Linked DNA regions of Tribolium castaneum. The protein of the gene in region 1 binds, or shares a complex with, the protein of each later gene. Links are inferred from orthologs where the notes say so. Each region holds a gene or a part of one and is shown on either strand. Other genes may lie near its edges.

Region 1 (3,315 bases):
GCAAAAGAACAGTAAGTGGTTTTATTTTTGTGAGTGCATCTGTTAAGAACAACAAATTGATTTTGGTTTGTTGATATTAACAAGGTGCTAAATCAGCTTGCCCTTAATTGCAACCCATGCTTACGAATTACTAAGTATGTTACTCAAGGGGGCGTACAGAATAATTTTTATTTTTTTGGACATTATCTAACGTTTCGTGTTTTTGTAGTTAAGCACAGTGGCAACATTACTTTGGACGATGTTATCAGCATTGCTAGACAAATGAGGCCAAGATCAATGGCTAAAAATCTGTCTGGAACAGTTAAGGAAGTTTTAGGTACTGCCCAGTCTGTAGGTTGCACCATAGATGGGAAGCTCCCACATGACGTTATTGACGAAGTGAATGATGGCTCTGTAGAAATACCTGAAGAGTAAATTTTATAAAATAAACTTTTCTGATACATTTTTTTATTATTAATCTGTCCAAGTCACTAGCACATTTAAACCCTTTTCAACGATTTCCTGTCTCCCCGCTTTAGTTATAATTTCGCCGTTTTTCTTAACTACGATTAAGTTCGGGATAGTTGTAATCCCGAAAATTCTACGAAGTTGTCTGCAAAAAATTGTTAAAACTGTTCCATAAAGGAGTAATTTTTTTATACTCAGCCAAATCGTCTTGGTAGGGAACAGCAAACCATCCACCTTGTGTTTTATAAAACGCGTCAAAGTCATCAAGAGTTGTGTCAGATGAAACATAAATCACCTCAATGCCCATATTTCTGCGAAGATTTTCCTGTTTAAGTAAAAGTTTACAAGTGAAGCAGACGTCGGGGGCTTTTTACGTACCTACCTTGTGAAGCTCCTTCAATCTCTGAAGGATTACTTTGCAATCTGCTGATTTACACCACATAGCTCCAAAGAAAAATATTATAATCGTCTTATTCTTCATTGCTTCTTCTGCAGGGATTAGCTTTTTTATTTTATTCACTAGTTGCTTGCCTTGGAGAAGGTCCATTATCTGGCAATTCGATGACATCTTGCGAGTTTGTGATCGACAAACTAATTTTGATTCAAACGTGGCGCCATTAACGTAAAACGCGTAACGTAATTTCGGTAAGGGCGAAGCTTTTTAAACGATAGCTTTTTATTTATGTTTGTGATATTTATGTTTGAGTTTTTTTGTTTAACTATCTTCTATGTAAAGTTGGAATAAAATATTACTGTAGTTTACATATTTGGTTTTTCGTTAGTAGCAATTCGCGGAAATCCGATTATGACTAACAAAAGTCAATAGTTATGGTGCACCACAATAAACATTGAAAACGTTGTAAAATAGTTATTTTTCGGTAATTAATTAATATTGTGACTTAGTCTAACTTAAAAAAAATGGATGATGAAGCTGAGACCTATAAACTGTGGCGAATTCGTAAGACAGTCATGCAGGTACCCGCCCTAACCTCACATTCCCACTCAACCTAAGCAATTTTTCCCAGTTATGCCACGACCGGGGCTATTTAGTAACCCAAGACGAGTTGGACCAGACCTTGGAACAGTTCAAAGAGCAATGCGGCGACAAACCTAGCGAAAAACGGCCGTCTCGTAACGATTTAACAATTCTGGTGGCTCACAATGATGATCCCACCGACCAAATGTTTGTTTTCTTTCCCGACGAGCCCAAAATTGGCATAAAAGCAATTAAAACGTATTGTCAGAGGATGCAAGACGAGAATATTCATAGGGCCATTATTGTGGTCCAACAAGGCATGACACCATCAGCCAAACAATCACTGGTGGACATGGCCCCCAAATACATATTGGAACAGTTTTTAGAGTCCGAATTACTGATTAATATCACCGAACACGAACTGGTCCCCGAACATGTAGTGATGACACCAGAGGAAAAGCAGGAATTGCTTACTAGATAGTGTGTATTTAATTAGGGTTTTTGTGGGTATTAAAATTTTAATTTTCTCTTGCAGCAAATTGAAGGAAAATATGCTGATGAGGATACAGGCCGGCGACCCCGTGGCGCGATACTTCGGCCTGAAGCGCGGACAGGTAATAATGCACTTTTAATTTGATTATGTACGAAGTGATTCAGAAAGACTGTTTAAGTTGGTAACGGATTTTTGTTAGCGGTTTGGAACACTGCGCTGGATACAGTATTTTTGTAATATTATTAGGCGGTCATGATTTATCATTTAAAAATAAAATTCAGAATTCAATTGTGAATCAAACAAAAAAAATAATAAAGGAAAAGGTTGTTTCACCATGTTGCCGGTTTTATTTCAGCGATGTATGAAATTGAATAATGAAAGGAATTTCCACTGTCACCTGATGGTAAATTCGGTTCAATAATGCTAATTTATTAAGGGAAATAATGTTGGTGTCGTTGGGCGCTTTTTACGGCGTGAATGGTGGCTAAAGTACCGGTTAAAAGTAATAACCGGCGTATAACATTTTTTTATGGTTGTTTCCGAGGTGTGTTTCCCTGTGAAACATGCGGGTTATAATGCAAATAAATTACGTTGTGTTCTTGCTTTGTTGCAGGTGGTTAAAATCATTCGGCCATCGGAAACCGCCGGACGTTACATTTCCTACAGGCTTGTCTGCTGAACTAATTTAAATTTAAACCGTCACATTGTCGTCGGAGGGAGGCGAGCTGTACTCTTTTTATGTATTTGAATATGTGCTTGATGATCAATAAATTTTGTATTTGAAATGATTAAAAAGTGCTTTTCTGCTGCCCTTATTGGATATCGCTTTCCGGTAGTGGCTGTAAATAATTGAAAGGGCTGTAGGTTGGCGTCGGGGTGATTGTATTCATTGATTAACTATTAAAGATGGTTTGCATAATTCGGTGTGTATACGGGCGGCCGAGGACTTGTCAGCCACCGCCGAATATTGATCTTGGCTCCCGGCTTGCCTGCCTCTGTCTGTCTGTTTTCCGATGTCATTCTCATGCAAGTATCGCCAATCAATGCGGGCGGACGCAATTACGCGATTTTCACCATTGGCCACCGAACCTCGGCGACAGCGGAGCGAACTTAGTCGCTGCGACAGTGCTGTTTGACTACCGACGCCGATGATGCGACCAGCGACGTGGAAAACTATGTAGATAGAAACCGAAATTTAACGTTTCATTTCATTTACGGCGTGGGACGAACATTTTAGGCGATTATTTTTCCTTTTTGAAATAACTGCGGTTGCCACCTTTTCAAATTAACTCTATTACACTGTACAACAATAACATGTTTAAATTATTTTTTTGTATTCTTTTGGTTATAATAAAGATTTTTAATTTTTTTCAACATCCTAAGATCTACGTTTTTTGCA
Region 2 (2,509 bases), about 8.7 Mb from region 1:
CTTTCGATTGTTTGGCGATCGTTTTGTGTTTTTCATCGTCGCCGATTGGGCACGCGCAGCGCACGGTGTGATAAATACAAATTACATACTTCAGACGAGAAACTCTCATCTAATTATTGATTTCTCACAACTAATTTTAATTAATCAATCCACTTACCGCAAATTATTAATTAAACTTGAATTTGGATGCGTCATAGTGACAATGACAGGAATGACAGGGAAAAACAAACGCCAACTATGTTAAAAAAATTTATTCAATTTAATTCATTACAAAGCTAAACCTTATTTATTTCCTGCAACTTCTCGTCCTGGTATTTGTAGTGCAAGTCCATACAGTCGTTGTTATCAATATGCACCCAGCCGGTCGGCTTCATATGGTACACCCTGACGATACCACCAGAATAGGCGTCCCGATGGGTGGCATGGTAAATCGACCGGCGCCCCAAATCATACGCCTCCTCATCCGTCAAATCCCACTTGTACCCCGAATCCAGGACGCCAAACGCATAAATGGAGCCCGAGCCAACACTGAAGACTTTCCCAGGGGTTCTGGTCCCCTCCGAATCCACGTAATACAGCTGGGGCCCCTGAACAACAACACTGATCAAGCGGTCTAACTTGTTCAAATAAATACCCTTTTGTCCCATCCTGCCAGCATCATGCCCATTGACAGCCCCATCCCCTTGTAATTATACACCATGTTGGCCATCAGTTTCGAGGCGGCTGCGACCGAAATCCGCTCCCGGTTGCGTAATTCGTACATGCGGCACTGCTTAGCCAGGACGCGGTCCCAATACACACAGTCAGCGGCGCCCCCGGCCAAAGTCCCCAGGAGAAAATCATTGATTTCGACGATTTTCTTCATGGTTTGGGAGCCGATGAATTGGCCCCCCGTGGCTCGGGAGTCCACGGCGAGCACTACGCCCCCCTTGTACATGAACCCCAGCGTGGTGGTGCCGTGGTCAAACTTGATTTTGATGTCCCGACCTGACTCGTCCTTCGAGAAGTAGGCCAGGTTCTCGGCCGGCTGTCACAAATTTGTTATCTGGGGGTATTTTCAAGGGGCTACTTACGTTAGAATAGGGGGGTACGCTGAGCAAAGTGTTGTGGGTGAAGTTGTTGCTCATTTTGGCGATTTCGTTGTCGAAGGGGGCTTCGCGTCTGAAGGTGTCGAAGTCCGACATTCCGCAAATCTCGGCTAAAGCCATTTTGGGGCAGTTTTGTTTGGTTCAAATGACGGTGCGAAAACACAACTAGCACCTAACCTCTAATGTCAAATGGATGATGGTGGTGGTTATGGTGTGTAAAGTTACGTCTTGTTGTGAGAAAATGTCCCAATTCCAAGACGTGCAAAACCAGAAATCGTTTCAATACTTATACGAGGTGGAAACTCTAGCGCAAGACATTTTAACTGAAAAAGAAACAAAGTTGGATTTGTCCAATTCCAGGAATAAGTTTAGGGAAGCCCTGAGGGCCCTGGAGGGCACAGAGGACCGAAGGGCTTGGATGCAGCTCGGTTCAGTTTTTATTGAACGACCGACTAGTGAATGTAAGGAGATTTTAAAAACAGGTCCGCAAAAAATATTTTTTTTACAATATTCTGACCAAAGTTTTTTAGAAATTGCAAACGCTGATAAGGATATTTTAGAGTTGGATAAAAATATTAAGAGCAAAATCCATAAATTAAGGGATTTGGAACATGAACCAAGGTTAGAGGGCTTCACCTTGAAACCCATTTCCTCGGCAGAGGCTAAAGCGTTACATAAAGCGTTCGGTGCAGTGTAAATTAATTAAGATTTTGTCAGTCCCAAGTCCACAATTAAATAATTGTAAATACAAACGTTTCTCAAATTTATTGTTTGACACTTCTGACAGTTTAACCGGTTGAATCTAACCTCACCTTTTAATTTTTAATTCGATTTACGTAAAATTTCAAATGAAAGTTGCGGCCGGCTTTGTGATTTATAAAAAGGCCTGCGATAATATTTTGTATCTTTTATTGCAAACTTCGTATGGCGAACACCACTGGACCCCTCCTAAAGGTAACCTTCAGTTTTTCCTTTCAAAAATAATAATGTTTTGTCAGGGCATGTGGACCCTGGTGAGACTGAGATGGTGACTGCCCTTCGGGAAACGATGGAAGAGTCCGGTTTGAAGCAGGAAGATTTGAAAATCTTCGACGATGTGAAGAAAATTTTAAATTACAACGTAAAGGGGAAACCCAAGAAAGTTATTTACTGGCTTGCCGAACTCACAAACCCCAAGGCTGAGGTGAAATTATCAGAGGAGCACCAAGACTTCAAGTGGTTGAAACTCGACGACGCTTGCACTTATGCAAAATACGCCGACCTCCAAGAGTCGCTCCAGTTTTTCGATAATTATATACGTTCCAACAAAAACTAATTATTGTTATATATTATTAAATAAAAAAATAATAAAATTAATTATTCAATGTGCAACCTTAGCCACTTCCATGTATTTGCGCCGATGAGTCATCTGGCAGATGGCG
Region 3 (3,523 bases), on another chromosome or scaffold:
GGGTTGTTAAAAGTTCAAAAAAAATCCTTATGTTCGATTTTTTAATATTTGATTTTTTCAATTTTCGTCGCAGTTTTTGTCGGTTTTGGGTACCCGGAACATTTCTCGAGCAATAGCTCCGGAACTATTAGAGATAACCCCATGAAGTGTATTATCGTTGGAAAGCTCTTTTAATTGTCTATCTTTTTCAAAAAAGATCTTTGCTCTCCGACTAATAGTTTTCGAGAAAATTGCAGATAAATGCAAAAATTGGTAAAATTTTAAAAAATTCGTAACCAAAAAACTAGTGGGAATTTGGCAATTTTCTCGACGCCAATCGATTCCCTGGATCATTTTGCATAGGTAAAGATCAAAACAGTTCCCCTTTTTCGAATAGTTTAGTCGTAATTGAGAATATAATAAAAATTAAAAATAAATTAAGACCTCCCTCCCCTCCAAAATGGCCATTTTTAAAAGTGTCTCAGAATCAAATAACACTTATCCTTTCTTATAGATTTTGATGTGCTCTTTACGATGGAAAAAAGAGTTTTTTCCTAGCTCTTTTAGTTTGGCCGTAATCGGCGATTGAAAATTATAAAACTTTTTGCGAGATATCGCTTTGAGTCCTATGCCATTTTGTAGAGTTTTTATTGCGCTTTTCTACAATTCTTCCGTTTTTAGATAACTCTAATAATTTCGCCGTAATCGGCAGTTGAAAATGGAAAAAAAGCGAAGATGGAAACTTTATTTGCGTTTTTCTCGGAAACTCTAAGACTTAGAGAATCAAACTAAAAAAACGGATGGCGCTTAAAATTATCTATTTTTTCGTCCAAACCCGGAGCTGCTCCGGGCAACGGTTCCGGTTACAGAGGCAATTAAAGTTTTACACTAAAAAAAATCATAACCCAAAAAGTAAAAGTCGTTGGGCAATGCGGTTTGTTTCATTTTCTTTGTTATACCAGCTTTTTTTACGAGATTAAAAATTTTGATTTTTTTTGCTAAATTCTGCTATATCGTAAATTAACTTAATTTTTGTATTTCGCGGTAAAATAATTCGGGCAGCCATTTTGTGCTTTAGTCAACCCACAATACACCACTTTTTTACTATTTTCTTATTGCTTAAATCTCTTTTTTGTACCCATAAAAACCCCACGACTCACTAATCACCATACGACTTTTTTGTCGTGGTAGTAATTTTTTGTGATAAGAATTGATAAAAACTCTTCATTCCGGCGCTTGCGCACTATCCCCGATCGCGTCCTGCCGTTACCCCAAAATTTTCCTCATCTCTCGCCTTCATTTTCCATCAAAATGTCGGCCATCTGATTTCCCTAACCTCAAAAGTGCATATGTGCGCGTAAAAATGCCATTATCGCCCGTTTCCACTCTCGGAAACCGTTCATAATCAGCTTAACGTAGTGTGGTGCGCCCCCAAGGCCATGTCGAACTCCCTGTGCAAGACTTCGGTGCTCCGCATCTACCAGGAGGTGATCGACGACGTGATCAGCGGCGTCCGCGAGATCTTCCTGGAGGACGGCGTCGACGAGCAGGTCCTCCAGGAGCTGAAGCAGACCTGGGAGACCAAGCTCAAGGCCAGCAAGGCGGTGCAGAGCGAGGAGGAGAAGGCGAAGAAGGCGGAGATGACCGCCACCAACGGCTTCCCCAAGCAGCATGTGGCGCAGCCGGCGGCAGCCCCCGTGGGGCAGATCGCCGAGACGAAGATGGTCCCCATCCAGATCACGCTCCCGGCGCAGCCCGGCAGCGACCAGGGCCCCAGGATACTCACGATACAGGTCCCCGCCACGGCGCTCCAGGGGAACCAGCTCCAGAAGGTGCTCACGGGGCAGATCATCACGGGGATGATGAATTTGCCCGCCAATATTGCGTCTTCGGTGCTCCAGCAGCACGTCAACGCGGTGTTTAACAGGTAGTCAGTTAGCCCCCTTTTAACTTAAATCGTCCACGCAAAATGTTTTCGGGTCACCCTGTACAAAGAAAAATACATGTTTTGTGCACACTTATGCAGATATTTTTGTCAATAATTGTTTTAAAAATTTTCTAATTATTGTTTAAAATTTTATCGGATTTTTAATAATGTTCTCTTCGGAATAAATAAAAAAGCTTGTAATAATTGTAGTTTTTTGTTATGAGATAACGTGTTTTTAACAGCCAGCAGCAGCAGATCGTGACCATTGTCAACCGAAACATCGCCCAGACGGACGGAAGCCACGCCGAGGAGGAGGAGGAGGAACAAATCGAAATCGAGTTTATTTTGCCTAGGAAGAAGGTGCCCCAGGTGGACGGCCCCGTGGACACGTCCGACGACGATGAGGACGGGTCTGACGACGATAACGACGACGAGGATATCGATGACGATAAGGACGAAGAGGATCAAGAAATGGAGGAAGAAGGTGGTGAAGAAGAGCCCCTGAACTCCGAAGACGATGTGACTGATGACGACCCAACTGATTTGTTCGATACTGATAACATCGTTGTTTGTCAGTACGATAAAATCATAAGAAATAGGAATAAGTGGAAATTTTATTTGAAAGATGGGATAATGAACTTGAGTGGACAAGATTATGTCTTCCAAAAGGCTAACGGTGATGCGGAATGGTAATTAGTGTTTTTTAAGAAGTTTTGTTTTTTTTTTATTATTTTCAAGTCACTTGCACGCAAAACCCGTCACTTATTCAAGGGAACGTTGGGTTCCGACTTAAGTTATTGAACTTTTGTATGTAAAATGGGAGAATAGCCTGAGTTGTAGAATTGTGTTATCCATTATAAATGTAACTAATAATAGGCGTTTAGATTTAATCGAAATTTTTACTATGTATTATCAATTATCGATAGCCGTTTGTGAATAAAACTATTTTTGAAGTTACACCATTGGTCGTTTTTCTAACACCTGGAAGATGACAAAAATCGCAAATTAGCAGCTCTTTTGAAAAAAAATCATAACTCAAAAACTAAAAATCGTAGAGCAATGCCTATAATGGAAAATTATATTCAACAAAAAAATTCATAATTCGAAAACTAAAAGTCGTAGAGCAGTGCGGTTCGTTCCATTGGATTCAGCGCCTTTTTTTCTCTATTATACTAATTTTTCACGCAATTTAAAATTTTCAATTTTTTTGCTCAAATTTCCTGAGTTATACACTTACTTACCTTCAAAGAGGTGAAAAAAAATTTTTTTTAAACTAACTCCAGCAAATTTTTATGGACTTCTACATGTCTTAACAACTCACAAAAGTTGTTAAAAGTCCACAAAAAGTCCAAATGTTCGATTTTTTGATGTTTGATTTTTTCAATTTTCGTCGCAGTTTTTGTCGGTTTTGGGTACCCGGAACATTTCTCGAGCAATAGCTCCGGAACTATTAGAGATAACCCCATGAAGTGTATTATCGTTGGAAAGCTCTTTAAATTATCTATCTTTTTCAAAAAAGATTATTGTTCTCCGACTAATAGTTTTCGAGCAATTTGCTGCTAAATGCAAAAATTGGTAAAATTTTAAAAAATTCATAACTAAAAAACTATTGGGAAT

Evidence for each region. The genes of interacting proteins can lie anywhere in the genome.
Region 2: Polr2E (region 1) and Pdrg1 share a complex: the UniProt entries of both Homo sapiens proteins name them as parts of the PAQosome complex. The link is inferred for Tribolium castaneum from reciprocal best matches to the Homo sapiens genes POLR2E and PDRG1.
Region 3: Polr2E (region 1) and TfIIA-L share a complex: the UniProt entries of both Homo sapiens proteins name them as parts of the TBP-based Pol II pre-initiation complex. The link is inferred for Tribolium castaneum from reciprocal best matches to the Homo sapiens genes POLR2E and GTF2A1.

Annotation. Positions count from the first base shown.
Region 1 is NC_087396.1:14,244,091-14,247,405, forward strand, and holds Polr2E (DNA-directed RNA polymerases I, II, and III subunit RPABC1), read left to right. Parts: upstream 1-1,255; 5' UTR 1,256-1,365; coding exon 1,366-1,422; intron 1,423-1,472; coding exon 1,473-1,903; intron 1,904-1,958; coding exon 1,959-2,037; intron 2,038-2,529; coding exon 2,530-2,595; 3' UTR 2,596-2,711; downstream 2,712-3,315. Other genes in the region: RpL12 (large ribosomal subunit protein uL11), read left to right, coding at 1-11, 209-414. UniProt on the Homo sapiens protein: DNA-dependent RNA polymerase catalyzes the transcription of DNA into RNA using the four ribonucleoside triphosphates as substrates.
Region 2 is NC_087396.1:22,907,693-22,910,201, forward strand, and holds Pdrg1 (p53 and DNA damage-regulated protein 1), read left to right. Parts: upstream 1-1,281; coding exon 1,282-1,570; intron 1,571-1,618; coding exon 1,619-1,785; 3' UTR 1,786-1,849; downstream 1,850-2,509. Other genes in the region: Pgi (glucose-6-phosphate isomerase), read right to left, coding at 1-109; Prosbeta5 (proteasome subunit beta type-5), read right to left, coding at 276-587, 635-1,027, 1,074-1,208; Datp (bis(5'-nucleosyl)-tetraphosphatase [asymmetrical]), read left to right, coding at 1,937-2,042, 2,087-2,403. UniProt on the Homo sapiens protein: May play a role in chaperone-mediated protein folding.
Region 3 is NC_087395.1:25,200,869-25,204,391, reverse strand, and holds TfIIA-L (transcription initiation factor IIA subunit 1), read left to right. Parts: upstream 1-1,209; 5' UTR 1,210-1,418; coding exon 1,419-1,906; intron 1,907-2,148; coding exon 2,149-2,599; 3' UTR 2,600-2,863; downstream 2,864-3,523. UniProt on the Homo sapiens protein: TFIIA is a component of the transcription machinery of RNA polymerase II and plays an important role in transcriptional activation. TFIIA in a complex with TBP mediates transcriptional activity.